Linked DNA regions of Notamacropus eugenii. The protein of the gene in region 4 interacts with the protein of the main gene of each other region in a pairwise test. Links are inferred from orthologs where the notes say so. Each region holds a gene or a part of one and is shown on either strand. Other genes may lie near its edges. The genes, in order: CDKL3, CCHCR1, C4H8orf34 and MTUS2.

The links.
Region 1: the proteins of MTUS2 (region 4) and CDKL3 interact in binary tests that used the Homo sapiens proteins (3 or more experiments, as listed by UniProt). The two-hybrid records come from large-scale screens. The link is inferred for Notamacropus eugenii from reciprocal best matches to the Homo sapiens genes MTUS2 and CDKL3.
Region 2: the proteins of MTUS2 (region 4) and CCHCR1 interact in binary tests that used the Homo sapiens proteins (3 or more experiments, as listed by UniProt). The link is inferred for Notamacropus eugenii from reciprocal best matches to the Homo sapiens genes MTUS2 and CCHCR1.
Region 3: the proteins of MTUS2 (region 4) and C4H8orf34 interact in a two-hybrid assay, tested with the Homo sapiens proteins (2 studies listed by BioGRID). The two-hybrid records come from large-scale screens. The link is inferred for Notamacropus eugenii from reciprocal best matches to the Homo sapiens genes MTUS2 and C8orf34.

What each region holds. Positions count from the first base shown.
Region 1 is NC_092872.1:340,836,745-340,843,697, reverse strand, and holds the start of CDKL3 (cyclin-dependent kinase-like 3), read right to left. Parts: upstream 3,023-6,953; 5' UTR 2,795-3,022; coding exon 2,707-2,794; intron 2,047-2,706; exon of another isoform or gene 2,044-2,046; coding exon 1,751-2,043; intron 1-1,750.
Region 2 is NC_092873.1:85,013,154-85,020,158, reverse strand, and holds the start of CCHCR1 (coiled-coil alpha-helical rod protein 1), read left to right. Parts: upstream 1-3,992; 5' UTR 3,993-4,017; coding exon of another isoform or gene 4,018-4,020; 5' UTR 4,021-4,089; coding exon 4,090-4,224; exon of another isoform or gene 4,225-4,352; intron 4,353-4,760; coding exon 4,761-4,827; intron 4,828-4,919; coding exon 4,920-5,136; intron 5,137-6,299; coding exon 6,300-6,603; intron 6,604-7,005. Other genes in the region: TCF19 (transcription factor 19), read right to left, coding at 1-147, 2,017-2,254. UniProt on the Homo sapiens protein: May be a regulator of keratinocyte proliferation or differentiation.
Region 3 is NC_092875.1:288,735,678-288,742,531, reverse strand, and holds the start of C4H8orf34 (uncharacterized protein C8orf34 homolog), read right to left. Parts: upstream 3,009-6,854; 5' UTR 2,683-3,008; coding exon 2,614-2,682; intron 1,671-2,613; exon of another isoform or gene 1,591-1,670; intron 1-1,590.
Region 4 is NC_092876.1:197,081,501-197,089,167, forward strand, and holds the start of MTUS2 (microtubule-associated tumor suppressor candidate 2), read left to right. Parts: upstream 1-4,645; 5' UTR 4,646-4,735; intron 4,736-7,667. UniProt on the Homo sapiens protein: Binds microtubules. Together with MAPRE1 may target the microtubule depolymerase KIF2C to the plus-end of microtubules. May regulate the dynamics of microtubules at their growing distal tip.

The DNA.
Region 1 (6,953 bases), on a different chromosome or scaffold from region 4:
ATATAGGAACTTGTGATTTCTTCACTGTAAAAATCTAGTGTTGGATGACTTATTAAAGTAGTCTTAGGATCATAAAGTTTAAATGACTTGCCCAGTCATGTAGCTAGTTTCAGTGATAGGATCTGAACCTAGATCTTTCTAACTCCAAGGCTACCTCTTTATGCTACCTCTTGTATTCTCCACAAAATGATACCAACTCCACTCTCCTTTTCATTGTATAGAATAAGCCATTTATTTAGGGCAGAAAATACCTATACCTTTCTTCTTACAAAATTGGTCATATCTAACGTATATCCACATGCTGGAGAAAGAAATGACAAATCACTCCAGTATCTTTGCCAAGAAAACCTCAAATGGGGTCACAAAGAGCTGGACATGCCTGAAAAACAATGTAGATCCACAAAAAGCAAAAATATTATTTTTGTATTAGACAAAGAAAAAAACTGCCTCCCTTATAGGTGATCACTATCTTTGCTCTGCATATAGCTCAAATTAAAATAAGTATCTAGACAACTATATTCTTAAATTGTTTTAAAAAAAGAAAAGCACTACCTTCTAAACAAAACTCATAGAATTTTGTTTCACCCTTCCACTTCATATCCTAATAACTAAATATATGCATAAGTATTTTAAGCATTACATGTGCATTTATGCTCTTCTCTCATCTAATTTTTTCCCCTGTATTTTCTTGATTTTATGATTTCAAAGATCACTTCTATACAGATCTGCATCTCTTCCCATCTCAAAACTGAATAATGAAACTTCAAATGCAAGGAGTCTAAAACTGAACTCATTTTCCCCTTCAAACCACTTGTTCCTAGACAGTAGTGATGCCATAATTCCCCCAGTCACTCAAGACTAGCTCTGGAACACTGAACTTGGGGGTCAAAAGATTTGGATTAGATTCCTATTGTTGCCTCCTCAAGCCTGTTTCTTTTTCCCTAAAAGAGGGATAATGACACTTGCATTACCTAGGGAATGCAAATAACTTTTTAAAAACTTTAAGAACTGCAAACAGTTATCTTTGGCAGCAGTCAAATCAGGTTAAATTCTTCTGAGGTTATTACTTCCTACGTTTTTGTCTCCTACTCAAAGAACTTTAGCGTGAAATTTCAAAGTCCACCACAATCTGGCCTCAATCTAACTCTCCAAGTCTATCTTTTCTTACCCACTGAAAACGATCTACCTTCTATACATTCCTATTTCCCTACTTTTTCTGTGGAGGTTACCCTGGCCAGAAATACCTACCCTTCTCTACTTATCTGAATCCTACCCAACCTGTAATGTCCATCTCAAATTCTAACCTTTCCCAAACCACAGGGCTCCTAAGAACCCCTTCCTTCAGCACTCATGGTACAACTCATTTGACATTTACACTTTATTATTTATCTATCTGCCTCCTTTAACTGTAAATTCCTGGAGAACAGGGATTGAATCTTCCCTCATGGTTTTTGTAGACAAAAAGTTGAATTTTTGTGAAAGCATGTTACATGTATTATAATTTCAAAATACCTACTTTCTAAAACTTCTCTACAGCTTTTCCCATAAATCATAAGAGGTAAACAATAAAATTGATATGGCACTTCTTTTTTCTACTAGTACATGGATATATATATATGTATATACATATGTATATACGTACACACCCAAACAGCACATAATTATGTCAATATAGCCTAATAAGGAAACAGCTTTTATTTCCTAGTCATTTCTCTTGACTCACATAGCAATTAAGGCAAAAGAAGCAAACCTTTAGAAACTTTATTTCTCTCATTGCAATTTTGTTGACAGATTTTTCCGGTTTCTCATAAAATATCTTAATGGCCACTATCTGCCCAGTATCCTTATGTTTGCACTTCATGACTGTTCCATAACTTCCTTCTCCCACTTTTCCAAGGGTTTCATACATCTCCATTTTCAAGACTGGTTTCTGGTTCTTCACGGAAATAAAGAGGGGGGAAAAAAGACAAATGTTTATACTTGTACTTGCTCCAGGCTGGAGATCTATTTCTAGAACAAATCCATTCGCACCTGAAGTTATTCCTACAGAAAACAAAGAATTTTGAGTATTTAGAAGTCTGTGAACATCTGGTCCCAAATACAAGACGAATAAAAGAAAATGCCGAAGTTTTCTCCCTCCCCCAGTTTCTGCCGTCCTTCTGGGGCACTGCCACAGGCGCTCCCCAGGATGACCTGGTGATTCTGCGCCCAACCGTCCCGGTCCATGCCTTCAATCCTGCCCATCACACGACCTCTGCCATCACCCACTTCCAGCCGGGGGCTGGAGGAACCGCAGTCCTATCTCATCAAACGTGGGGCTCCCATATTGACCCTCCCCCAACAAACCTCGAACCTTCCACCTATGCTCTTTCTACGACCTTCCCCAATCTTGAAGGTGCCAAGGTGGGGCTGGCATCCCACTCCCACTGCGCATACCCACCTAGGCCTCACTTCTCCTGCCTCAGCCCTCGGGCGGGTCTCAGTCCTCCAAGCGCCCGTTATCTCCTCCCCCCCTCCAGGCTTTACAACCCCCAGGGAGTCCCCCCAGGTAAGACCCTTCTACTCCGCTCCCCGCCGCACCACCTCCACCCCCGATCAGAACCTCCCTCTTCAAGTTCCCAGAAGCCTCAGGCCCCTCACGGGTCACGGTAGCACTTCTGCCCCAAGCTTTCCCCCCTGTGCCCCGCCGGGGTAATCTCTCATTACCTAGGCTCCCACACTGCCTCAATCCTCCATCCCCCTCATCAAACCCGCGGTTCCCAGGCCCCGGCCGGGCCAGGCCCGGCGGCAGCATCCCCCTCCGCTCCGCCCCGCCGTTGACCTGGTCAGGGCAGCCGCCGCCGCCGCCTCAGCCCATCCTGCGGCCCCACCGGCCTGGCTCTGAGCAGTCGCAGCCCCAGCCCCAGCCGGCCGCGACCACGCGGCCCCGCCCTGCCCGCCTGGCCTACCACCCACTACCATGGCAACGGCGGCAGGGCGGTGACGGGGTGCGGCGCGCGCAGGACCGGAAGCTTCTGGATCCCCACCCCCGGTTCGGAACGGCAAGCAGCGAGGGACAGAAGAGTAAAAAGAAGGTGGGCGCGGCCTGGGGGTTAGGGGGAGGGGTGTGGTGGGTGTGGCCGCGGGAGAGAGGGCAAATGGGCTGGAAAAATGTCCTCGTCATCAGCCCCTTCTCGCGTAGTCGTTGGAGCCAGAGTGATTTCTGTCAAAGGGCAGACGGGTCAGTGACTGGAAGAATGTTGGCCGAAATGTAAGGATTCGGGCGTAAGAATCCAAAATGAAAAACCCGGGCTCGGCGGAGGGAGAGCCGGAGAGAGGCGCCGGCGGGGCCGGGACAGCCGGGCCGGGAGGGCCCGCGACGATCCGGACTTCAGCGGCCTCCTCTCCGCCCTCCCTCCCAACTCCTCAGCCCTCATTGGAGAAAGAAGGAAAGGCAGCCAGCCCCCTCTGTGGGAGGTGGGGAGCGCGGACCACGGAAGCCCGGCCATCACGACCGGTCATTGCACTTAGCAGTCACCAAGCTTGTACTAAGAGCGTATGCACTAAGCGCTGGAAATACAACGGGGGAAATGGGGGGAACCGGCCCCCGAAACAAAGCCCTGTCCCCCGCCTCAGAGAGCTCACGTGCGCACGGGGAAACAACACGCTGATGTCTCTTTTTACCTCCAGGGGCACAGTGAGGAAGGTAACCTCTGAGGAAGCCCGAGCCTGAGCTGAAGGGGCCGAGCATTTCCAGGAGGGGGACGTGGAGCTCGGAGAACTGGAGTTCATGGGCCACTGTAGGATGTGGTGCAAGGCAGGAAGCAGCCGGATTAGGAAGAGCTTTAAATGCTGAAAAGGAGTTTATAGGGAGAAAACTGGAGAAATGTGGGAGAAAATGGAAAGCCATCGGCGCTCACCTAACAGGAGAGTGACGTTGGGATCAGATCCAGTGCTTGGCATTGGAGTCGGAAATACATCATTGAAGCAAGAAGACTTCCAGTCATTAGAAGGCTGTGGTAGTAGTCCCAGATTATGAGGGTCTGAACTAGGCTTGGGGTTGTATGCGGGCAAGAGAAGGAGATCTAGAGGAGTGATGTTTTGAAAAGGCAAGTGTGGTAATGGGATTGATTGAGGAGGCAAGGATGACACCAAAATTGGGAGCTTAGGTGATTGGAGAATGGCATCCTCAACCAAAAGGTTGGGAAAAGGCTTGGAGAAAAGTAATGAGTTTTATTTTGGACATGTTAAATTTGAGATGCCTACGGTTCAGACTATCCAAGAAATAGCTGGGAGTGGTCAATTCTGACCTAAGGCTGGATATGCAGATTTGGAAATCATCTGCATAGAGAAAATAATTCAACCCATGGGAGCAAATGAGATCATCAAGTGAGAGTGTATTAACTGTATTAAGCAAAAGGAGGGCTCAGGTTGGAACCTTGGGAGACACCCACATTATTAGTAGGTAGGAAATGAAAAACCAGTAAAGGAGACTGAAGACTAATTAACATAGGAGAACCAGGTAGAGTGAAGTAGTTGAGAGAAGATAGGTAAATAGGAAGAGCTTGACTCAGATCCTGTCTCTGGCAAATACTACAGTTATGATCGTAGGCAAATCACTTCATCTTAGTGCCTCAAGGTTAAAATTAAACTACTAGAAATTGCCATTGTACATCACTGGAGGGAGTTTCTACCCTGGGAGCTCCCCACATTGATGAAATCACAGGTCTGAACCAAAACAAGAGGAAAGACTTTCTGGATCATTGTCTATGTGGCATTTTGAGAAGGATAAAGGACTGATATCTGTATGTGTCATAGGGTAGGAGGAAATATGGATGTGCTTTTGTGAGTAAAATGTCCTATTTTTTCTAGAGGAATGATTTTAGCTATGTTGCACAGCTCAGATTTGTTTCCTACAGCTGCTAATCCAGAGCTATGGTAAGAAACCTTTCAGAAAAATGTGGGTTTCCTTTCTGTTATTCACAGCCATGGCTATACTGGTGGAAGTGTTACAAACAACATTAGCAATCCCCACAAGAAAAACCAACTGGATGAAGAATATTTATTGTTCAGGTTATCCATTGTAATTGTAGTTGGATGGGCAGTCCTTTGAGTTAGTCCATGATTACCTATATATCTTGGAGAAAAAAAATGTTTAAAAAAAGGAGGAGGAGGAGGAGAAGAGAAGAAGAAGAGGAGGAGAAGAAAAGAAGGGGGAGGAGAAGAGAACGAGAGGGGGAGGAGAACAAGAGGGAGAGGATAAAAAGGAGAAGAGACAGGAGAAGAATAAGAAGAGGAAGAGAAAAGAGGAGAGGAGGAGAAGGAAAGGAGAAGAGGAGGAGAAAAGGAGGAGGAAGAGAAGGAGGAAGAGGAGAGGAGAAGAATAAGAGGAGAAGAGGAGGAGGAGGAAGAAAAGAGGAAGAGTGGTGTGTTCTGGATTTTCTGGAAAATAACTGTTTTTGACACAAAACTGCATTTAGAAACATTTAAAATATTGCAACAGGGAACGACCTCACATCTTTGGCATCTGTCTCTTCCTCTTTATTCATGTGCCTGGTGTCCTAGTTCAGGTCCTCATCACTCCTGTCCCCTGGACTATTCCAGTAGTTACCTAATTGGTTTCAGTATTTGACATCACTATACAAACATTTCATTCCAGTCAAACTGGTGTATTTGTTCCCGGTACTTGACATTCCACCTCTTACCTCTGTGCCTTTGCATGACTCTTTTTTTCCATGACTGGAATGCCACCCCTCCTGATCTCCTCTTGGAATCTCTAGTGCCTTTCGAGGCTCAGCTGAGGTGCTACCTATTACATGAGGCCCTTCCTCATCTCCTCCAGTTGTTAGTGTCTTCCACCTCCCCGCTCCCCAAATTACTTGTACCATTTACTTTATATATACTTTATATTAACTGTTCGTTATATGTTGTCAGTGGAAAATAAGCTTGATCTTTGTATCCCTGGTGCCCAGTATAATGTTTTACACACTACAAGCAGATGATAAATACTAGAATTGCATCAGACCAAAACTTTATATTTCACCTAGTACCTCTCATGGTACTCATCAAAGTAGTTTTTAATAAATGTATATTATATTATTTGTGATACTTTCATAAAGTCCAATAATTGTTGATGCTCAGTGGTTCAGCTGTATCTGACTCTTTGTGACTCCATGGACCATAGCATGTCAATACTGTCCATGGAGTTTTCTAGGCAAGGACACTTGAGTGGTTTGCCATTTCCTTCTCCAAAAGCAAATAGAGGTTAATGCTCAGGGCCACACAGCTAGTACACCTCTGAGGCTGAATTTGAACTCTGGTCTTCCTGTCTCCAGGACCACTAGCTGCCTCTTTGATGTTAGCAAATAATATTAATGATAATGTCACAGCTTACTTAAAACCCAGAAGACACACCCCTCCCTGCTTCCTCATGCTTGACTCTGATCTCTGGGTCCTTTGCAACTACCAGATATAAAACATTAAAAGGGGAGAATATATGTGTGAAGGGTATTAAGATCACACCTTCAAGCTCTACTCAGAAAAATAAAAGTCTTGAATTGGGAACCTCTTCACTGAGCTCTAATAAAATAAATGGAGTCCAACTTTATTTACAAAGCACTTTCAAAAAGGTATGTTGTATTTCACATACCATATATAAAAGACTGTGCCTCATCTATACTTTTTATAGCTATCTTTTTCTTTTAAAAAATACATTTCATTTTTTTCATTAGCAAAAATTTCTACCTTCTCTCCCTCCAACATCAACCCACCTCCCTCCAGTTGAGAATGAAAAAAAAAACCAAAACAAAATCCATTACAAACATAATCAAGTAAAACAAATCTCTCCAATGGCCACATCCAAATGTCCAAATTGATAATTCTGTACTATCAAGAGTCTCATCACTGGTTTTTTGAAATCATTACAATGATCAGAATATTTAATTCTTTCAAAGTTATCATTATTCTCCAGTTCT
Region 2 (7,005 bases), on a different chromosome or scaffold from region 4:
GGGGTCGGACTCTGACACGCTGGAACATGAAGTAGAACTCAGGAGGGCTGGCTCCCACAGGCCCCTTAGGGCCAAAGGTTAGGAAATCACCGTCACTCAGTTCCAGTTGGTGACCCCTGGGGAGCCTGACATTGTTGACCAAGGTACCTGTAAGTAGGAGAGTGGAACAGAGAGAGAGGGAAAGAGAGGGAGAGAGATAGAAGGAAAAACAGATGAAGAGAAGAAAGGCAGAGAAAGGAAGGCAAGACAAAGATAACAGTCAAAAAGTCATGTAGGATAGCCAATTTCCTAAGGTGAATCATCCTCTCCTCCCATTTCAGCTTCACTCAGATCATAACCTCAAGCATTTTGACAACAGGGACTGTTTTGTAAACTGTTAAAACTAAAAGGGGCTTTAATCATTCTTTTAGTGCAGGGAAAGGGACCAGCCCAGAGTTCCATAACACACAAAGTAAGAAACAAGCTGGAATTTGAATCAGGACCTTGATTCTATAAATGATGAGTTCACAGGCATAACTAGGCATTCTCTCTAGTTTCCTATCCTGCCTGGCTCCAGGTAAACTGAAGGGATTGGCTCCCCCAATCATCTCAGCTCACTGCTCCTGGGGGTTTCCTAACAAAGTTAGCACAGAATGGAAAGAGTTAGTAATTCTTCCCCTGTCCTTTTAAAATCATATTCTGTAAAGACTCAGTCTTCACTGACAATAAGAAACCAATGGGGCTAGTTAGACACCCAGACCTGTTCCAAACAGGGACAATCTTAGTTTTGGGATTCCCCCCTCCCACCAATAGGGACCTTAGGGCTTCCCTGAGGCTTCTGAGACACAGAAGAAACCTCCTATTTCTTTTGGGTCAAACATTAAAAAATCTTCTGGATCAAAAGGAACCTTTCCTGAAATCTATTGACAGCTAGATGACTCAGTGGATAGGTTGGGAGTTAGAAAGATCTAAATTAAAATCTGGTCTCTTAAACTGTGTGACCCTGGGCAGATCACTTAATCTGTTTGCCTAAATCCACTGTAGAAGGAAATGGCTATTGCAAGGGCCAAGAAAACCCCTGGATAAAAGTCCAGAGGGCATGAAACGTCAGACAGCTAAACGGTTGAACAACATGGTCAGGCCAAAGTAACAAAGAAAAATACTAAAGCCTTGGGAACCTGGACTAATAGTGAGCAGCAGAGGGAGTGTACCTTGGAGATGTGATCTTAAAAAGTCCCTATATTTATTTAATTTCATTGCCAACTCCTGGAAAACCTGTGCCAGAGCTTCCCTGCCTTTTCTCTTCTCTTCTAGAACTGAACCCCACTCACCCCCTTTTTTCTTGCTCCGCAATAAAATTGTTATCTTGTGTACAGTTCCCTTGGGACCTGTTTTATACTTTCCAAGGTGAGCAAGCTTGCTGATCTGCTAAAACACAGGCAGTGTGTATGGAGTGTGAAAGAGTGAGCTCTAGTAACCTTTTGACGATTACTAACTATGTGACCTTGGGCAAAGCATAGTTAGTACCCAGTTTCTTTATTTGTATCCCCTTACCTAGTAAGCAGTCCCTGTAACAAAGATTATAATATTTACCCTACACTTCACAGGATTGCTGGTAGGAAAATGACCAATAAACCTTAAAGTGCTATAGAAACATGAATTGTCACTTAATCTGAATCTCAGAAAACTATAAAATGGGGAAACCTCACACAATTGTTTTAAAGATCAAGTGACATGGGATAAATGCAACAATTCTGTAATAAAATATAAATATGGAACTAATCTCATAACTCAACCATGGAATTAATCTGCTCTGAAAGGCTTTCATCCATATACACACATATCACATATAGCACATCACCCTAACAGACAGCAGGTACCTTTTGGAGACAACTTAAGTCTTTTGATCTTTGCTGTCTAATCTAGAGGAGGAATCTGAGTGGCAATGACAATTGGGTCCTAGGGTACTTCTCAAATCATACCATACCTATTTATACCTATCTGCCTAAAAAGAGAGCCAGCCACGTCCAGGCTCACCGTAGCTACTGCAGTCCTCCAGGCTGACTCTCCAGTCGTCACCTTGGCTTTCAGCATGCAGCTTGGCATGGACCGGGGAGATGAGGACAGGCTCACACTGGGGCCGAAGGGCCACATCACACAGGTCAGCTCTGAGGCCCAAGTGGTAGGTACAGCCAGCCCCAGTGGGAGGGTGAAAAGTATAGAGATCTCCACCCTTCCCAACCCCCATGCGAAGCAGCTGGAAGCAGGGCAACATGGGGGGAGGGGCTTTCCCCTATGGACTCCCTTCTAAAGTCAGGGAATACATAGCTCTTTCTACCCTTGGGTAATTAAAAATGGAGAGATGTTCAGATGCAAACTTGGAGTACAATTCTTGTGCAATTCGGTTCAGTACAACGAAAATTTGGAAGGTATTCAGCTCGCAAACCGAGGGGGACAACTTGGCCTTGAAAGAAAAAAATTAAGGTGTCATCCCCGGTGCAATGCAAAACTAGGGAAGATGTATCAGGCTAAATTAAGGACCGGCTCGTAACCCGTGAAACTAACTAACACCCGGAGTATTGGATACTATTGTATACTCAGTTGGTACAATGTAACAGTAGGGATCGTAATGAGGCCGGTTTCCACCACTGTTTAATAATAACTTAGTTATTCGGTGCAATTGGGGGCGAGGGGGCCCTTTCTTTCAAAAGGACTTTTCCAGAGGTCCTCCCCCCGCAACTTTCCTGGCTCAACACCTCACTCTTGTCAGGGGGCTTAAGAACCTTTCAAGGTGATAAGACTGCAACCCCGGAAATGCGGGCTGAGGATCCCTATTTCTGGAGTAAAGCGAAGCAAGATCCCTTACCTCCCTCCCCTCTGGAGTGCAATGCAAACCTGGGGTCCTACTGCTTCCGAAGCAATGCAAACGCGGGTCCCCCCAGCCCGGGCAGCCTAATTTCGGATCAATCAGTGCCGGACAATCTCAGCGTGCCGTGCCCCTCCCTCAGGCAATACAAACCTCGACCGAGGAGGCTAGGACCCCAGTCCCCCCTCCACAGGACCCCCACCCCACCCTGTCCCCCGCGCGCACGCTCGGGCTGAAGTTTGACAGGGCTAGCAAAAGCAGAGGGCTCAGGCAGAAGCCGGGCCCGGAGCGGAGCTGGGCGGAGCCTCCGAGGACAGGCGAGCGTCCAACACCTTCGCAAACTCCCCGGGCCCGAATTCCGCGCGCCTCAGATACCCCGCCCCCTCCCGATGCCATTTCCCCATTGGACAGTCCTCATTCCATCGCCCAGACCCCATTGGGCGGTAGTCAGGAAAGGCACAAAAAGGACCCGGCGCGACCGCTTTCTTCGCTTCCCGATTGGCCATTGAATTTTCCCGGGTTTCAGGGAAAGGAGGAGGAGCTCGGTGGGGAGGAGGGATCTGTAAGGGCGCGGGGATAGGCCGAGTCCCTGGATTGGTTCACCATATGGACGCCACGGCGCTTGCGTGTCTCGATTCGTCCTCCCTCCCTCCCCATTCCGAATGAAGTACGCGGGTCCCGGAGCCCGCCGGCTGGCCCGCTCTGCGCAAGCGCGGTCAGTCTGTGGAGGGCGGGGTACTTTGTGGCGGAGGTGGGGCAACAAGGGGAGGGTGGGGTCTCGCGCTGGGTAAGGGGGCACGAGAGTGAGTCAGTTGAGGGCGGGAAGGGGTGGAGGGGGGCAAGGGAACGTGGGCACTAGGGAGCTGAGGGGGACAGGGGCAGGGCAAAGGAAGTGCTGGAGGTCTGGGGCCGTGGGGCGAGGGGGCACCGAGAGACGAGGAACGGGGCGAGGAGGGACACGAAGGGCCCGGGGAAGAGGGAGCAGGAGCTAGGGGAGGCTTGGGGGAAGCGGGGGCGCTGAGGGGCGGCCAGAGAGCTGCAATTGTGACGGGACCCGGGCCGAGCAAATTAGAGGGAGGGAGGGGGGAGCGTAGGACGGGGAACAAAGTGGGTGAGAGAGGGGGCGGGGCACGGGGGTGCAGGAGAGGCGGGGAGGAGGGCGGCTGGAGTGGATGGTAAGCGCCATAGAGAGAGAAAGTGAGAGCATCAGGGTGGGATGAAAGACAAACTAACAGGGGCTAGAGATGAGCAGAAGGCCCCACATGGGCAAAGGACTGTTAGACTTCCTGCTCACCCAGGAAGATGGTTCCGAAAATTGCTTTGCTGTTAATGGTAACTCGAGATCTCTGCATCTTACAGACTTCGTCTGGTGCCAAGCAGTATGCTGACTCTTTGATGGGGAGTGGGAAATCAGTGTTGGGAATAATGGTGGGGGGGAGGGGATTAACCCCCGGGGCCACCCTGAGCAAACCATCCAGTGGAGCTGCTTCCCTAGCCCTTTAATTCCGTACGTGCTCACTCACCTTCAGATCACAGAATAAGAAAAGTAGAGCCCAAAGGGGAGAGAAAGGCGCTACCCAAGTCCTATGAATGCCATGTAGACCTTCAGGGGTCTGGAGGCCTTAATCCTAGATCCTGCTTCCCTTAGAAAATTATTTTTTATCGTGGGTTTTGTGTTATGGAGTCTCTTATCAAAGCTAGGTGGGAGCCAGCCACTGATTATTTCATAGATGTTCCAGTTTGTCACTTTCAAAAATGAGGGTGATAGGGATGGGGAGGGGAAGGAAAGAAATGATAACTGGATAGATGTTAAATTACCTAAGGAATTGGCAAGGTTATCATAGGATCTTTCCCAGGGATTGGTTGGAACCTTGGAAAATGAATTGGAGCTTGAGGTGTTTCTCTTGCTCCACAGGAAAAAATGGATGGCTGGAGAAAGAACCTGGAACCCCCATCCACTTTTGGGATGTTCCAGTCTTCAGGTAAAAGGGATAGGGATGGATTATGGAATTGGAGATTGCATACCCTATTTCTATACCTTCAATATTGACCTTTCTGTCCTCTGCTTACTCAGGTCTCACTGGGCTCATGCCTCCATCTCATTTCCAAACACGGCCCCTTCCAAGCATGTCCAGGACCACTTCTGTCCAGTCCCCACCCTTACCCATAGTCCTGCCTTCACCCCATCACGGCTATGATAACAATGATCGTAGATGGGAGCATCATAGACTACAAATTTTGAGAGAACAAGATGGGGCAGGTGATAGTGAGGATCCCAAAAGAAGGACCAGGTAGGGATCTAGTTATTCTAGCTTCTGCCTGTAATTGTTCTTCACTTCTGTGTTAATTATTTTTAAAAGTTTAATTGATGGATTTTTCTTTTATTTTCCATTAATTTCCATATATACCCTTCTCTCCTATCTTACCCCACAAGCCTTCCCTTGTAAGAAAGATAGAAAACAAACAGTTCTGATTTTTTAAAATTCTGTGTACCTTCTGCTTTTGTGTATGAAATTTGAACTGTATTATTTGATCTTTTGTATTTTTTCTTGTCTCACGTGTATATCCTGACTCTTCTAAATTTAATGTCTTAATAAAATTATTGATTTTAGAGTGGAGTTACAGGCAGGTCTATCTTAGATCCTGTCCGCTACTGTTTTTGCTCCTGAATTACCAAAGGACTTTGTTATAAGGCAGCCATGGATTCTGAAATAACATTGTGATGATATTAGAGCTGTTTCTCAAGGACTGGGATCATGTCTTTTATTTTTATTGCCTCCTCTCAGAAGGTTTAGGAGAATTTATACCGTAAATGCTCAATAAATTATTAACCAGCCCCTATTCTTGTCACATTAGAACAAGAGGATCCATTGCCTTCTCTGCCCCTACCTCAGGTTGGAGTTCAGGCTCCTCATTCTCTCAAACCAGAGCACAGAAGACTGAGTATCCCTTCCTTTTCCACCTCAAGCCGAACTCTTAGATTCATAATGTCTTCATCTACTTGTGAATCAGATATCCTAGCACTCATTGTACCATTCATGAGGTACACTTAATTGATGCAACTATGCAATAGATGCAACTGTTATCTTTTTACGTATGTGAATGCCTTCCCTCAACTAGGATAAGGCCCGTTAAGTACACTTAAAGGTATAGATTATGGTACATACCTTTTTGTATCCCCAGCATCTAGCTTAGTATCCTACACATAAAAAGTGCTAAGTAAATGTTTAAGGAGTAGATCACAGAATCCTTACTGTTTCCAGGTTTTGCATCCTCTTGTGTGTCTGACTGACTTCCAGTTTCCCCCGAGGCACCCTTTTCACTTCCTTATCCTTACATATCAGATCAGAGAAGTCCTCATAACTACCTAGATGGAAACAGAGCGGCCCTCTTGTCCATCCCTTTCTTGTGTAAGACCAAAGAGGCCATATCTCACCTATAACTTTCCCCAAAGGTCCCTGGACTATGTAGGGCCACAAGGCTTGAATTCCCGAACTGAAATGATCTCTCAACAACTGGAAGAGATTCGGAGACTTGAGATTGAGAGCCAGGCTTTGCGGTTGGCTTCAGTCCATCAGAAGGCTCATCTGGCAAGCCAGGGTGAGGAGCTGGAAGTCTTAGGACAGGCAAAACAGGCAATGCGGGTTGAGGTGGAGGAGCTTCGTGCTGCTTTGGCTGGGGCAGAGCTCATTCGGAAGAAATTGGAAGAAGGAAACAGACAAGAGCTTGAAGAGACTCAGAGGGTGCACAAGGAACAGGTGAATGAGAATAAGAAAATACTAGGTGTTAGTTGGGATTTGTCTCAGTTCCACATGGTAGGGAATTAATCTGAGATAATCACTTTAGCAAAGATCCTTTGATATTCAATTAGAATAGTAATCTGCTTGGCCAGGAAGATGTTGAGAATTGAGAGTAAAGCAGAACCTGAAGGAAGCAGGCTGGGGCTGTTAGGATAGGGTTCTCTCCATTCATCCTCCTTGTTCTCTTTCCCCACTTCTCAGAATTCAGATATCCTGCTTCTCTCCCAAAACTTTCATTTACTTCTTAGTACTCAAATATTCTACCTATTTTCCTTTTGGAACTCATGTTAAAATGGACCCCAAACACTATCTGCCTAGAATATTGCTGTAGTCTCCTAACATGTCTTCTTCCATCACTAT
Region 3 (6,854 bases), on a different chromosome or scaffold from region 4:
ATAGCTTTGTATCAACTGCTTTTCTTGTACCAAAGAGTTAATAATTGGACTATAACCTACTAGTCTTCTTCCTGTTCTCATTTCTGTGATTCTGTGAAGGATATGTAATTTCTTCACTCTGACAGCCAAGTTCTGGCTTTATCAAAATTGTTACAAGAAGATCAAGGTCCAGATATCCTTCTTTCTGAGGTCTTACATTTTTTTCTCCTAAAGATTTAAAGCCAATGTCTTATCAACCCCAGAAAGAAGATCACTTCATCAAGTCAGTCCAAGCTAGGAGAAATGCACATAATAGGGACCCAGAAAATAAGGGGAAAGGGGATCATGGATAAGAACATAAGAACTCAGAGCTGGAAGAGACTTTTGAGGTCATCTGGGTAAAATGAGGTAAGTGTTTAGTGAAGGATTTTGATGCACCATTATTTCAACTAAGAATTCAGTTGCGTTGAATAATGAAAACAGGCACTCAAGCCTACACGTGCATTTATTTGATTACATTAGTATGTCCCAATTTTACATAAGTACCAAACACTGTAATCATTCCTAGAACTGACCACCATCTACACTTGTGACATCTTTATAACAAAGAGATTTTTTAAAGAATGAAAACTCTCATCATCTTATTTTAAAAGCATAATGAATTCTGAGAGAACAGCTAGCAAAATACAAGATTCCTTTTCTTTGAGTTAAAACTAAGCTGTTCTTTAGATGTAGCTAACATGATGTGCTGGTGGAAAGACTATTCAAATAGTCTGTTTTAAAATCATACATGTGAAATAATGCATTGTGTGCAATAATTAGACTAAAGGCAAAGAAAAGAATTAGAGTTGCATCAATAACTCCATTCCCTCACAGTTGTGTTTTCAATTGTTACCTCTTTCAAGGGGGAAAAATGAAGACAATTACTGGACCACTATCCTCCTGTTCAAATAGTAATGCAGGTCAGTTGAAATCAGGCTAGTATTTTTCAAAGAGAGGAATAATGATAAATAACTTGGGTTTAAAGTAGTATTCACCCTTCCTTGTCAATATTAATTTTGTGATATCCAGATATACCTTACTGCAGTTCTGCATTTTATGACAATTTAAAAAGAATTAAAAGGTAGCTCCTTCACTTTTAAAACCACTCCTATTAGTTTTAAAAGGGGGTGGATGAGGGGTTCTAAATCATTGATCATAGAAACCTTTAAAATCATAGGTTTGGAAACAGAAGAGATGTTTAAGTGATTAGATTTTAGTCTAACTCCTTTCCATTTTACAAATTAAGAAACTGAGGTCCAAAGAGAGGGAAGTGAATCATCTTCCATAGATCGAATCACCAGTTCCCCTGGAATCTGCATTCATTTCCCTGCAGCTCACATTAGTTTGAATTCAGTCACAAGGAAACAGCCTAAAAGCGAAAGAGCTGTCTCTCCATTACTACCAGGGCACACGCCTCCCTGATGCCGGCTTCTGCTTCCCTTTCAGATGCAGCAGAGATGCTGCGGGAGGTGTGAGCACCACTGTTGTTTAGTGAGACCGACCCTCTTCCCCATGCTTCTTCCAGGAGTGTGCCTGGAGCCGGGCGGGCCGCTGAAGTCTGGGACTTACCAAAAGAGTGGGGAATGAGTAGTGGGTCCCCCGCCACGGCCTTCTCCTCCGCCCTCACCTCCGCCCTCCACTCCTTAACATATATACTGAACTGACTTAGGGACTGCAGTCTTCAAAGCACTCTCCCCACCCACCCCAGTGTCCTGGCAACGGATGGGACGCTTTCCTTCGCTTGAATTCCTCTGTCTCACAAACCAACAGGCTCTCTCTCTGCCTGGACCCATCTTTTTGGGCAGCAGCTTTCTTGAATCCTTTTCCCCCTTTTAACCAAATATGCGTCTCCCCCCGTCCCCGTGTACACACACACACACACACACACACACACACACACACACACACACACACACACACACACACACACACTGTCTGAGATTCAGTAGAATTCTCTCCAGCCCAGCCCATTTTGGGCCCCCGGCTAGAGTGAGAGTGTCTTCTTTTAAAGCCACCCCCACCCCATAAAGCTAAGTAGTATTTTCTCCAGTTCTCGCTCCTGCCACCTTCGTATCTCCCTTCAAAATCGAACAAACCTAGAGAGTTTTGAATACAGGGAGGTAGCGTGTGCATTATATTAGGAGCACACCAACGGTGGGCATGTGTGTGCTTTGTGTGTATTGGGCGGGGGTTGAGGGAGATAGTGCCCGCTTGTGAGGGTACCTGTGTTTGTGATTGGGGGACAGCATGCAGATAACAGCGAATAAGACAGCTTGGCATGCCACCAAGACGGATTCAACTTCCTCTGGCCCGCTCCTCCTGTCGATCTCACCTGCCTGCCCGGGGACGTCTCCAGCCCAGGTAACCTAGGAACAGCTCCCCCCACTCCCGCCCCCGAACCCCTTGTCCCCATTCTCAGCCTTGGGGGCTGTTCCTGAGCAAAATGCCTTGGTACCCTGGGATGGCCGGGGCGCCCCCTTCTGCCAGGTCCTTCTCCCTCCTACTCTCCCAGATGTCCATTTGGGTTTCTTTTTGATGTCCCCTCTTTTGCCTGAAGATGAATCCTCCAGCCCCGCCGCCAGAAAGCCTTACCTCAAACAGGGGACCTATTTTGTTCTTCTCCAGGTAAGCCTGGATCCTCGTTTGCTGATGATGCGCCATGGAGAGCGCCCGGACTGGGAGGGTTTCACGCCTCTCCCCAGTGCCTGGTCCTCTCTCCCTCCCCAGATGCCCCGAGATTACTCAGGCACCGACTCCGGCACTGCCGAGCTCGCTCTAGCTCTCACCCACCCCAGCAGACGCCGGCGCCCGCCCTTTCCCAGCACAGCCGGGCTGCCGGCTGGCGGGGCGGGGAGAAGATACAGGGAGAGAGGAGGAAAGGAGGGAAACACACGGAAAGCGGGGAGGAGCGTGGGCAGCGGAGAAGGCGGGGGTGGAGATAAGGGTGGGGGGAGCAGGAAGTCCCAGGCGTGATGCTAACTCCAGCAACTCGGTCTACAAGGGAACAACTCATTCATTTCATCCCGCCCCCGACTCCTTTCCCTAAAGGCACACCCAGAGAGGAACGACAATTAAAGAGAGGGGTTTCCTCGCTTTCCTTTGGGCATCTGGAGGAGAGGGTGAAGAAGGAAGGGGGGGGAGGAGGAGAGAGAGAGAGAGAGAGAGAGAGAGAGAGAGAGAGAGAGAGAGAGAGAGAGAGAGAGAGAGAGAGAGAGAGAGAGAGAGAGAGAGAGAGACTAGAGAGGAGGGATCCGTTGTGTGCTGGACCACATGGAGCGCACAGAGGGGAAAGCTGAATGACCCCAGGGCTCCTGGCAGCTTGGGTGGAGTGGCTAAACAGCAGGTACTGAAAAAAATCATAAGCTACACTTTGCAAATCTAAATCAACAGTCCTTTCAACCTTTCAAAATACCTGGCTTAAATTCTTCCTTAAAGAAAGATAACAGTCTAAAAGCAGGGATTCTGCGTGTGTGTGTGTGTGTGTGTGTGTGTGTGTGTCTCCTGTGTGCGCCTCTCTCTGCTACTTGGTTACTGGAACAACAGCCCAGCTCTCCCCAGCTGCTGTGCTTTCACTACCAGCTGCTCCCTAGCGACAGCACCTCTCAAAAAGCCAATAGTGAAGGTGCTTCTTTCAAAGTGCACATAAATCTGGTGCTTGTTGGCTACTCCGAGGCAGTCTGCAAATGCAGATCTAAACCCCTCCTCTCCAATACCCCCTTCTTTGCTTGTCATTCACCTATGGCCCTCTGGAAAGTGATTGCAAGAGGGAGGGGTGGGGGTGGAGGTCGGGGTGGGAGTGGGGGGAGAAGAGGTACACTGTGCCAGGAGAAGACTCTTGAAACGGTTAGAGAAGTACTGATCTCGATTTTGCTCTCAGTTCTCTCATTCCTTTATATTTAGAGTTCTTAACTTATAATACAGTTATCATTTTATTAAAAAAATCATGGATCCCATTTCAGTAAAATTAGCTTTCTTCCAAATCCTATGTTTCATTGTATTCATTTAAAACATTATTCAGAGAAGGGATACATTCATAGGCTTCCCAAGATTGTGAAAAGGCTCCATCACACACATTAAGAATCCCTGCTTTTAGATTGGTACCCTACCTTAAGTAAACAGTCAAGCTGAGCATTTTTAAATGTGCTTAGTTTAAATTTGCAAAGTGTGGCTTATGATTCTTTTTTCAGTACTTGCTGTACATCCTCACAGCCTATTCAGAAGTTTAAGTTTGCTTTAATGACTTAACAAACCTAAATAGAAAATACTAGTGAATTTCTTTCCAGTGTCTTCTTGTCTCCCAAATGTTCATCCACCAAGGTTTGCATTTATGAAGTGGTGAAAATTGGTTTTGAGAAAAAAACAGTCATTTCTTCTACATTCTTCATTTCTAGGAATAGGATATAGCACAGAACATCATTTTCATGGCCCCCGAGTTCAGGGAACCACTAAAACAGGGGTTTAAGAACATCGTTGTTGTTTCATGCTGTTTCAGACCTTTTTAATGGTCCGATGAGGCATATGTACCCCTTCTCAATAATATTTTTAAACATATAAAATACATAGAATTACAAAAGAAACTATAATATAGTTACGAAATATTTAAAAATTCAGGGAGCCCAGGTTAAGAATACCTTTACTAAAAGGTGATATAATTTCAGCATTAGCATCTTTGGATGTTTTTCTTAAGAGGAATGCTTTACTTTCACTTAAATTGTAGCCCTAAAAGGCACTTAGCTTTTTGCTATATGTCTGAGTGACTAGAATTCAAATATCTACTTATGGGTGTTATTTTATTCCCTTAGCTTTTTAGTTATTTCTCCTCTGGGGAACATGCTACAGTTATGTGAAAGTCTATTCTCTCCAAGGGATAACATGTGATCTTAACTCAGAGATGAGATAGAAACTCCTCTAATGATCAGGGACTTTAATAAACCCAGCAATTTATCCATGAACTTCTAATGATTTTGTTTGAGGATGTCTAAGCTACCTGCTCTAAATGCAGTACTCTCACGGCCCGCCTATGTGGATTTAAATTCAGTAAAAACAGATTCATTCTATATAGTAAGCAAGAGTCTGACACTTTGACTCTAGTGGTCTCAATATATTTTAGGTGTCATATAAAATGAATTAAAGAGTTGGAATTAATTATTTATAAGGTCGCTTGTGGTTCTAAAGTCTAGTGAGCCCATATGTTTGCATGTGTATAAACATACACAATTATTTTTTCTGTTGTGCTGTAAGGAAAGGAAATGAGAAGCTAAGACTTAATAAGTTACTTATTAGGATAGCGAGTATGATTCAAGGTCCGCCATGAGGAAATATTTAAATGACTACTACTTTCAAGGAGAAAAATAAAAGTTAAAACAAAATATAGTACTGAAAATTCATGACTATTTCTGAAATAAAGGGCCTGGAATTTTTAGGAGACGTAAAATGATGGCTTTTGCCAGTCAATCAGTTAATAAATTCTTAACTCTTTGAGAACATTGTACCGAGGCCCTGGAATATAGAAATTAGGGCCCTTGCTTTCAAAAGGCTTAGGGATTGGAAATTATTTAACAATGAATAACATTAAAAAAATTCATGAATTATATTACAATGATTATCAAAATTTACAGCAATATGATCTTCCTTCTTTCCTTAATATTTTCCTAGATTAGAAAAAAAGTAATTGAAGATGTTAAACACACACATTCTTAAGTTCTGTAGTCATGTATATTAATAGCATCACATCTTAGTCTTTTTTTTTTCTGGTGTATCCTTTTCTTCCTTTCAAGTCTTGTGAATACACTGCCTTGTCCTCATTGTATTAGAGATATGTTTGTCAAAGCAGCTTAGAAGTGCATATAATCAAATGCCTAGAATACCTGCTGGTCTTTGCTTAACTCCATCTGGAGGACACCCATCACAGAACCTGAAGCAAATGAACTAGTGATTGATACTTGCCTTTGATGATCATAGATTTAGTCCTGAAAGGGACTTTAGAGATCAACTCTTTCATATCAGAAAAGAGGAATCTGAAACCCAAGGAAGTTAAGTTACCCAGTCAGGGATTTTAATTCAGATCGTCAGACTCTGTTTCCAGCATTATTTTCTCTATGCCATTCTGAAAACCTTAAGAGCCTTTGGGTGACACTCAATTAAGGAAGCATCAGGAATATGATCAATTGCACTTAGCTATGAAATACTGAATTCAGTTTAGAGGGAAAGTATCTTTCCAACAGTATGTTTCCAGCAATTTATACTATGACTTGAAATGTATTTTAATTAAGCATGATTGTTGATTTTGTTGAGAGGAATTTGTGACATACACCTTTTTACATAACACTTTTATCTTTTGTTGAGATTAATATAGAGGATTTGATACAGATTTGATATAGAGCCCTGGATTTGGTACTAGAGAACCTTAACTTATGGCCCAGTTCTGCTGTTACCTTCTCTGAGACATAGTTATCTCAGTTGTATATTAAGAGGGTTGACTTATGTGACCTTTAAAATCTCTTCTAGTTCTGTCTATGATCCTAGGGGCCATCTCCAGTCATCGTGATCTATTTCTTGTCACTGGATCCAGGTGGCTTCGGAAGACTGTGAGGCTGGTAACTTTGCACAGCTCTCTCTCACTTACATCTAATTCACTTGCATGTCATGGCATCACCTTCATGATGTCATGGTCCTCTTCGAGAATGAAGGACAAACACAAGTCTATAATCTTATATACATATGATCTTGATACCTCTAGAACAGAGCCAATGTCAAGGCAAAGGATGAGAAGAATGATCAGCAGTGAGAAGTGATAGAAGAAAAGCTAAGAAATAGATGGAAGGTGGATTTCC
Region 4 (7,667 bases):
GAAAGTTGATAATCAGAGGGAAGAGACATGGCTTGGTAGCTTCAGGGTGCAGGAGAGTAAAGTTTTTTTTTTTAATTAAGATAGTGGAGATTTAAGAATAATTATAAATGGGGGAAGGAGCTATCAAAGTAAAAGCCACAGGGCATTCTCAACATTTCCCCTGTGGTCTCTCTGGAATGGCAAGTAAAAATATTGCCTTATTTTCAAAACATATTATACTCTTTGCCATAATTAAAAAAATGAAATTCTAAAGAGCTGCTTCATTTGAAACAGGAAACACCTGTTTTTTTAATTTAGTGCTCGGGGACTAAACATAATCATTTCATTTTCTTAATTTATGTAGAAAAATTCCACCTTCCATTCTACTTTCAATATAAACTTTATTAAACTAGAGATTGTGATAATTCATCATTAGGTCTTGTCAGTTCATCTGTTTTTCTCCAGACCCAGGTTCATTCTTTCCAGAGAAATTAGGAGCTTTCTAGTTATGGAATATGGCTGGAAGTAAAAGCACTATCAAGTGAGAGTACCATGGAGTTGTGCAGGCAAAACAATTTAGTGCCCATCAAGATGCTGGGCACAAAGTTCCACTTAATTAATATTTAAATGAATTGAATCCCTTATTTCCAAGTTGAGAAAGGTCAGGTAATATACTCTATGACAAAATCAGAATCCTAAAAAAATCTTGGTAGATAGAAATGAGTGAATAAATCCATTAGGATGAAATTTATTGGGAATAAATGTAAAGAATTATACTTGGTTTCAAAAACACTAATTCCACAAGCATAGGAATGAATACTTTTGGCCTGACAGCAGATCATTTAAAAAAGAGCTGAGGGTCCACCCATTCCTATTAAAAGCAATAGAAAGCATAGGGATAAATGAACCTTTTCTTAAAATAAGTAGTATTTATCTAAAACCAAGAGTAAGCATTATCAGTAATGGGGATAAACTTGAAGACTTCACGATAAAATCAGGGGTGAAGCAAAGATGTCCATTGTCACTGCTATTATTCAATATGTACTAGAAACACTAAGATAAGAAGAAGAAATTGAAGGAATAAAACTAAGCAATGAAGGAACAAAACTATCACTCTTTGCAGATGATATGGTATCATATCATTATGGCATCATATCATATGGTATCATTATGCAGATGGTATGTTTAGAGAATCCTAGAAAATCAACTAAAATTAGTCGAAACTATTAGCAACTTCAGCAAGGTTAAAGGCTATAAAATAAACTCACATAAATCATCACTGTTTCTATACACTACCAATAAAGTCCAGCAGCAAGACACAGAAAGAGAAATTCCATTTAACATAACTTCGGACAATATAACATACTCGGTAGTCTACATGCCAAGAGAAATGAAGGGATTATATGAACACAATTATAAAATATTTTTATACAAATAAAGACGGATCTAAACAATTGGAGAAATATCAGCTGCTCATGGGTAGACTGAGCCAACAGAATAAAAATGATAATTCTATCTAAATTAATTTACTTATGCAGTGTCACACCAATCAAACTACCAAAGAATCATTTTATAGAGCTAGAAAAATAATGAATGAATAAAAATTCATCTGGAAAAACAAAAGATCAAGAATATCATATTAATGAAAAAAATGTAAAGGAAGTCAGCCTAGCAGTTCCATATTTCATACTATATTACAAAGCAGTAATCATCAAAATAATCTGATACTAGCTAAGAAACAGAGTGGTGGATAGGAGGAATAGATTAGGTACAAATACAGAGAAGTAAATAACCATAATAATCTATTGTTTGATAAACCCAAAGATCCAAGATTTGGGGACAAGAACTCGCTATTTGACAAAAATTGTTGGGAAAACTGGAATGCAGTTTGGCCGAAACTAGGCACAGACCAACATTAATACTATATACATAAACAAAACCAAAGTGAATAAATGATTTAGACATAAAGGTGATATAAGGTAAATTAGGGAAGCATGGAAATATGTACCTGTTAGATCTATGGATAAAGGGAGAGTTTATGACCAAACAAGAGATAGAAAGGATCACGGGAAGTAAAATAAATAATTTTGATTACATGAAATTAAAAGCTTTTGCACAAAGTAAAACTAATGCAGCCAAATTTAGAAGGAAAACAGGAAATTGAGGGAAAATTTACAGCATTTTTTTAAATAAAGGCCTCATTTCTCAAATATATAGAGAACTAGAACTGAATCAAATTCAACAAAATAAGAACCATTCCCCAGTTGATAAATGGTCAAAGAATGTGAACAAGCAGTTTTCAGAAGAAAAAAATGCTCTAAATCCCTACTGATTAAAAAAATAAAAGTTCAGACCACTCTGAAGAACTACCTCATACCTATTGGATTGGTTAATATGAAATAAAAGGTACATGACAAATGCTGGAGGGGAAGTGGAAATACTGGGACACTAATGCACTGTTGGTAGAGTTGCAAACTAATCTAATCAATCATTCTGGAGAGCAACAGGAACTATGTTCAAAGAGTTATAAAACTGTGTAATCTCTGACTCAACAATACAGTTACCAGGTCTGGGAAGACTTACATGAATGAATTCATGCAAAGTGAAGTGAGCAGAACCAGGAGAACATTGTGCATAGTATCAGAAAGACTTCACAACTCTGATTAAGACAATTTCAAGGGGCCTGTGAGGAAAAGTGCTGTCCACATCCAGAGAGAAAAATGATGAACTCTGAATATAGATCAAAGCATACCCCTTTTCACGTTATTTTTCTTGTTTTATTTTTGTCTTTTCTTTTGTAACATGACTAATGGAAATATGTTTTACATGACTTCACATGTATTATCCATGACAAATTGCCTTCTCAAGAAAGAAGGAGGGAACAGGGTGGGGGGAAGAAAAGAATTGGAACTCAAAGTTTTAAAAAATGATTGTTAAAATTGTTTTACATGGAGGGGTTTAGTCAGGTCGATGAGTAAATAGGGGTACTGTGTCAAGCAAAAGGTGTGAAAGGTAATAATAGAATTCTATTGTGCAGAAAGTTGGAGCTGTCAGCTCAGTGGTCTTGTCCCTTGTTAGAATTTATCTGGAATACAGTTCTAAGTATAATATTCTAAGGGGAACATTGACAAAATGAATTGGATTCAGAGGAAGGCAACTAAAATGGGGAAGAGATTTGAAAATATGTCCTGGAAGAACTGGGGACCATTTAGATTTCAGAGGTGACATGGTGACTATTTTCAAATATTTAAAGCTTAGGTAAAAGGAGATTCTGCTTGGATCCAGAGAACAGAATCTGGATATTATAGGGAGTCAGGTTTTTGGCTTAATATTAGAAATGACTTTATAGAACGGTTCAAAAATAGAAACTGAGTAGTGTGGCCATATTGTGTTCCTAGCCCTGCCAGCTAAAAGGAGAAGGTTGAGATGATGGTAGTGGAGTGAAAAGAATACTGGATTTTGAATCAACTAAAAATCTGGGTGAGCTCCTTATCACTGCTATAACCTTGGGTGGTTCACTTCTCCTCTTGGGCCTCAGTTTCCTCATGTGCAAAATGAGAGGGTTGGACTTTTAAGATCCTTTCCATCCCTAAATCTATGTTGCTATGACCCTTTGGATTATTGCAGAGGGACTTATGTCTCATAGTAGGAAAACCTGTGTACTCTTTTCCTAAGCAGATGCTTAGAATGTAATGCCTGGAACTAAGCACAGTATTCCAGATGAGGTGTAAGCATCTTTAGCTGCTTAAGAAAAGAATATACACATAATTCTTCCTATATTTTCCTAGAGGCATAAAGTATGCACAGCCCTCCCTCACTCAAAACAAAGTCAAGTGCAAGTCACGTCGTTATTTCTCTGATGTCATGGTCTTCTTCGAAAACGAAGGAGGAACGCAGAATAAAACACAGTATTATTAACAATATTTAATAATACTACAAGTCATCCTTTCACTGAACGTTCCTGCCTCTCATAAACCTTAGTCTAAAGTTCTTCCTAGTGCCAAATCTAAATTCTTCTGGTTAGCATTTAAACTTACCGCCTCTTCTATCCTAAATGTTAATTACAGTTGATATTGACATCCTAGATAGTGATACACTTGCATACACAGCCTGACTAGGAGAGCCTCTATTATTTTCTCCTTTGTCGGGACACAAATATTCTGCAGTTCAGAGGGCCAGGCCAGGATCCCCAAGCGCTTAAGAGGTGCGAATGAAAACGCCCATGCTTTTAGGTGCCTGGGTTAAAAAACACAAAGTACCTGGGGGGCCGCTGTTCCCGACGCTTCCATCGCCGGGGGTTTGGGGGCTGCAGAGGGCGCTGTTCGCTCATCTCCAGGCTTGCGGCTGCAGCCGACAGCAAGCCCTGGGCACCGCTGGGTGGCTGGAGGCGCCCTCTGCTTTCCGTGCTTGCTGCCGCGTTGTGGGGGTGTGCACGCCTCCCGCTCCCTCCCGCCCGCTCCCCAAGCTGTAAGGGAGGGCAGTAAATCTGGAGCGAGAGACACCGGCTCCGCCGCACGTTTCCAGGCGCCGGCTTCACAGCCGCCGCCTCCACCTCTACCGCTGCTTCTCTTTGTCCGGGGAAAGGAAGGAGGGAGGGAAGAAAGGAGGGGGAGTTGCTGCTGCTGCTGCTGCTGCGGCACCAGGTGCATCCTCGGAACCCTCCACCGCTCTGCGCCCCTTCTCCCGGGCTCTGCGCCGCGCGCCTGGAGACCCGTGTCGAGCGGCCGCAGCTTCCTCGGGGGGTACCCGCGGACAGGTGAGTCCTAGGTGGGGAGTCGGGCTGACGCTAGGGCGGCTGCGAGATTGCTGCTGCCTCCGCTCGGCATCTGCGTGTGGGATGCGTGGGAGGTGTTTGGTGGTGACAGTTGTTGGAAGTGCAGCCCAGGTGTGGCTCCATTCCTTTCCCTCTCCCGGCTCGCCCCTCCTTTCCTGGACCGCTTGGCAAGTTCTTTCTGCCTGGGCACCCGCAATGACCTTTTCCCCCTCCGAAACTTCGGACCCTCAGCAAGACCCCGCGCCTCCTTCCAGCCCCCAACTACTGGAAAACACTTGGAGATGGGGGTCCGGGTCCTAGCTTTTGGCTACAGCCTAATTAAGTGTCGTCGTGCGCTTAGTTTTGGACATCTTCCTCGCTTCCTTCTGGAATTGCTAAGACTAGGGTAACCGATGGGGATCTTCTGGGCTGTGTCTTTATTTTTGGCCCTGGCTCCCACGTTCATGGGTGTGGGAGGGAACAGTTTAGACCATAGTAGGCATTTCCCATTCCCCCCACCCCGAAATAAGGCACCTCCTCCCTTCCCCTTTGCAAGAAGAATTGCCCTGTGCACCCCGCATGCAGATAACTGAGATGCAGGAGCTTTTTGATTCCCTCTTGAATGGTGTCGGCGATTGCGAAGCATATATGGCTATATGGGGCACACACGTGCTGACTGTTTGGGTAACACAAGGATTTCCTAAGGGTGGGATAGGTTAGTTCCAAGACTGGAGTGTCCTCCCGGCCTGGGATGCTACAGTCTGCCGCCGTACTCTTAATTTAGCATGGTCATGCTAAGTCCTTTGAACTTTATAATGAGACCTATTTTATTTTTCATACATACATACGATTTAGCTTGGAGGATATGCACAGAAGGGATTTCTGGCACATGAGAGTGATGGTACTACCGTTCTATTTTAAATACAAACGGGGAATAAGTGTGTCTGGCAGGATACCAGAAGAAACCCATACTCACTGTTATGCAAGTACATTTAAAAATACCTGCTCATTGGTTAGAATGTAAAGTGATCACCGAGGCCTCTAGGGGGAAGCTGAGAGAAGAGCTAAGAACATTTCTTCCTCAAAACAAAAGCGTGCCAGAAGGGGTGATCACGTCTAGCTTGAGGTCCTCTCTTAAGATGGTATAGGATAGTTTTAGACAGCATTTCAACCGTGGGAAGAATACTTGAGGCATAAAGCAGATAACAGTGCAAAGCATTTAGGAGAATTAAATGAAACAGATATTGTTCAATAAGTCGCAAAGTCGGGTAAAAATTATTTGACTGTTACCATGATAGTGGTAGAAACAGAATTCAGAACTTACAAGGTTTTCAAAAATTTTTGATAACATTTTTTAGAGGCTATTTTTGGAAATTTAGTAATATTCCTTGCTAGTTAAAGTAACTCAACTAAAAGTGGATTCAGATAAAAGAAGGACTTTCTGGTTCCTTTTCATCACTTTTAATGATTAATCAGATTAGGTATTTTGCTGGCTAGACAGTGAAATACAAACCCTACAAACCACACACTTGTACAATCCTGCTCTGAGTGTATCTCATCAGGCATCACCGTGACCAGTTCTATGCAGGGATTGTTGACTGACTTGCAATCATCAGGAGAACAAATATTCAACAGGTGATACTTGGCAAAAGACAACAGATAAGATGCACAACAGTTTGTATTATTACTAATTGTGGGTTTGTGTGGATCAAATTTTTTCTTTTACTTTGTGTGACAGATTTCACTTTGGTTACAGAAGCAAAGAAGAATATAAAAAATAAAATGGAAAGGAAAGATACCATTTTTTCGGGGGTCCCAGAAATGTGAGTTCGTTGGTATAGGGAACTCCCTGCGTGGAAACTGCTTATTAATGCAGCTGAACACTTACTCTGTGACGTATAAACTTAGTTACCTGCATGTCACTGAAAGGTTAAGTGATTTTGATACAGATAGTTTGCATTAGAGATGTAAGAACTTGAACTCAGGCCTTCTTGACTCAGGAGCTACTGTGCTTTTCCAATAGTAATTAAAGATGGATAAAATAAAGTTTTGCAAAGGACAACTGAAGAATTGTTACATATACTTTTTATGTAGTCTTTTTGGAAATATACTAGATCTTTATTTCAGTGAAATACTTGTAACTTGTAATTCTTTCCAACATTCAGGATCTGACTTTTAAAACTTGAATATGCCATAGTCTCTTTTAATTTTTGGAGACATCAGTGACAGATTAGACAGCAGTGTAATTATTTTTATTTGCTTACAAAATAACATAACCAATAGTCATTAAGCATTTCATTATTTTCTCTATCAAATATAAAACTGGTTGTTGCCTTTGATATAAAATAGCACAGACAGTTGAGTGGGGTGCAAAAAACTTCTTTGTCTTATAATTTTTGTCTAACACTTCTAGATTTAGATATTTTGTGTCTGGTTTCAGCAAATGTTTTATGTGGAGTCTTAGGTAAAAGGTATGATTGAGTTGAAGGTATTTTATGAAACTCAGGTTTGGCTATTTTGTAACTGCCAGCAAACTATATTATTAAAGTCAAAAATAGGGAAACAGGGATGCCTGGTGTCAGTTGACCAGACCCAATACTGTAATAAATTAGAGGACTATTTCTGTAAGTGGAGAGATAAGTACAATGTCTACAATAATGGTTCCCCTTGGGTTGTTCATGAATCCAGGTTCTTAACAATGATCCAAGGAGTTTGCATTCAAATTTTTTTTAATGATTCCTTAAGCACTAAATAGTTGTGAAGAATATTATGAGTAGTATATTAAATTACCTTGGGGATTCAAAACATTTTTGTTGTTGTTGAAAGGGGTTCATGGAACAAAAAAATGTTGGGAATTACTGGTCTAGAAGATTACATAAGTATGTCTCATTATATGTGTAAGCCCTTTTCTAAAGATTTCAATGCTAATGTATAA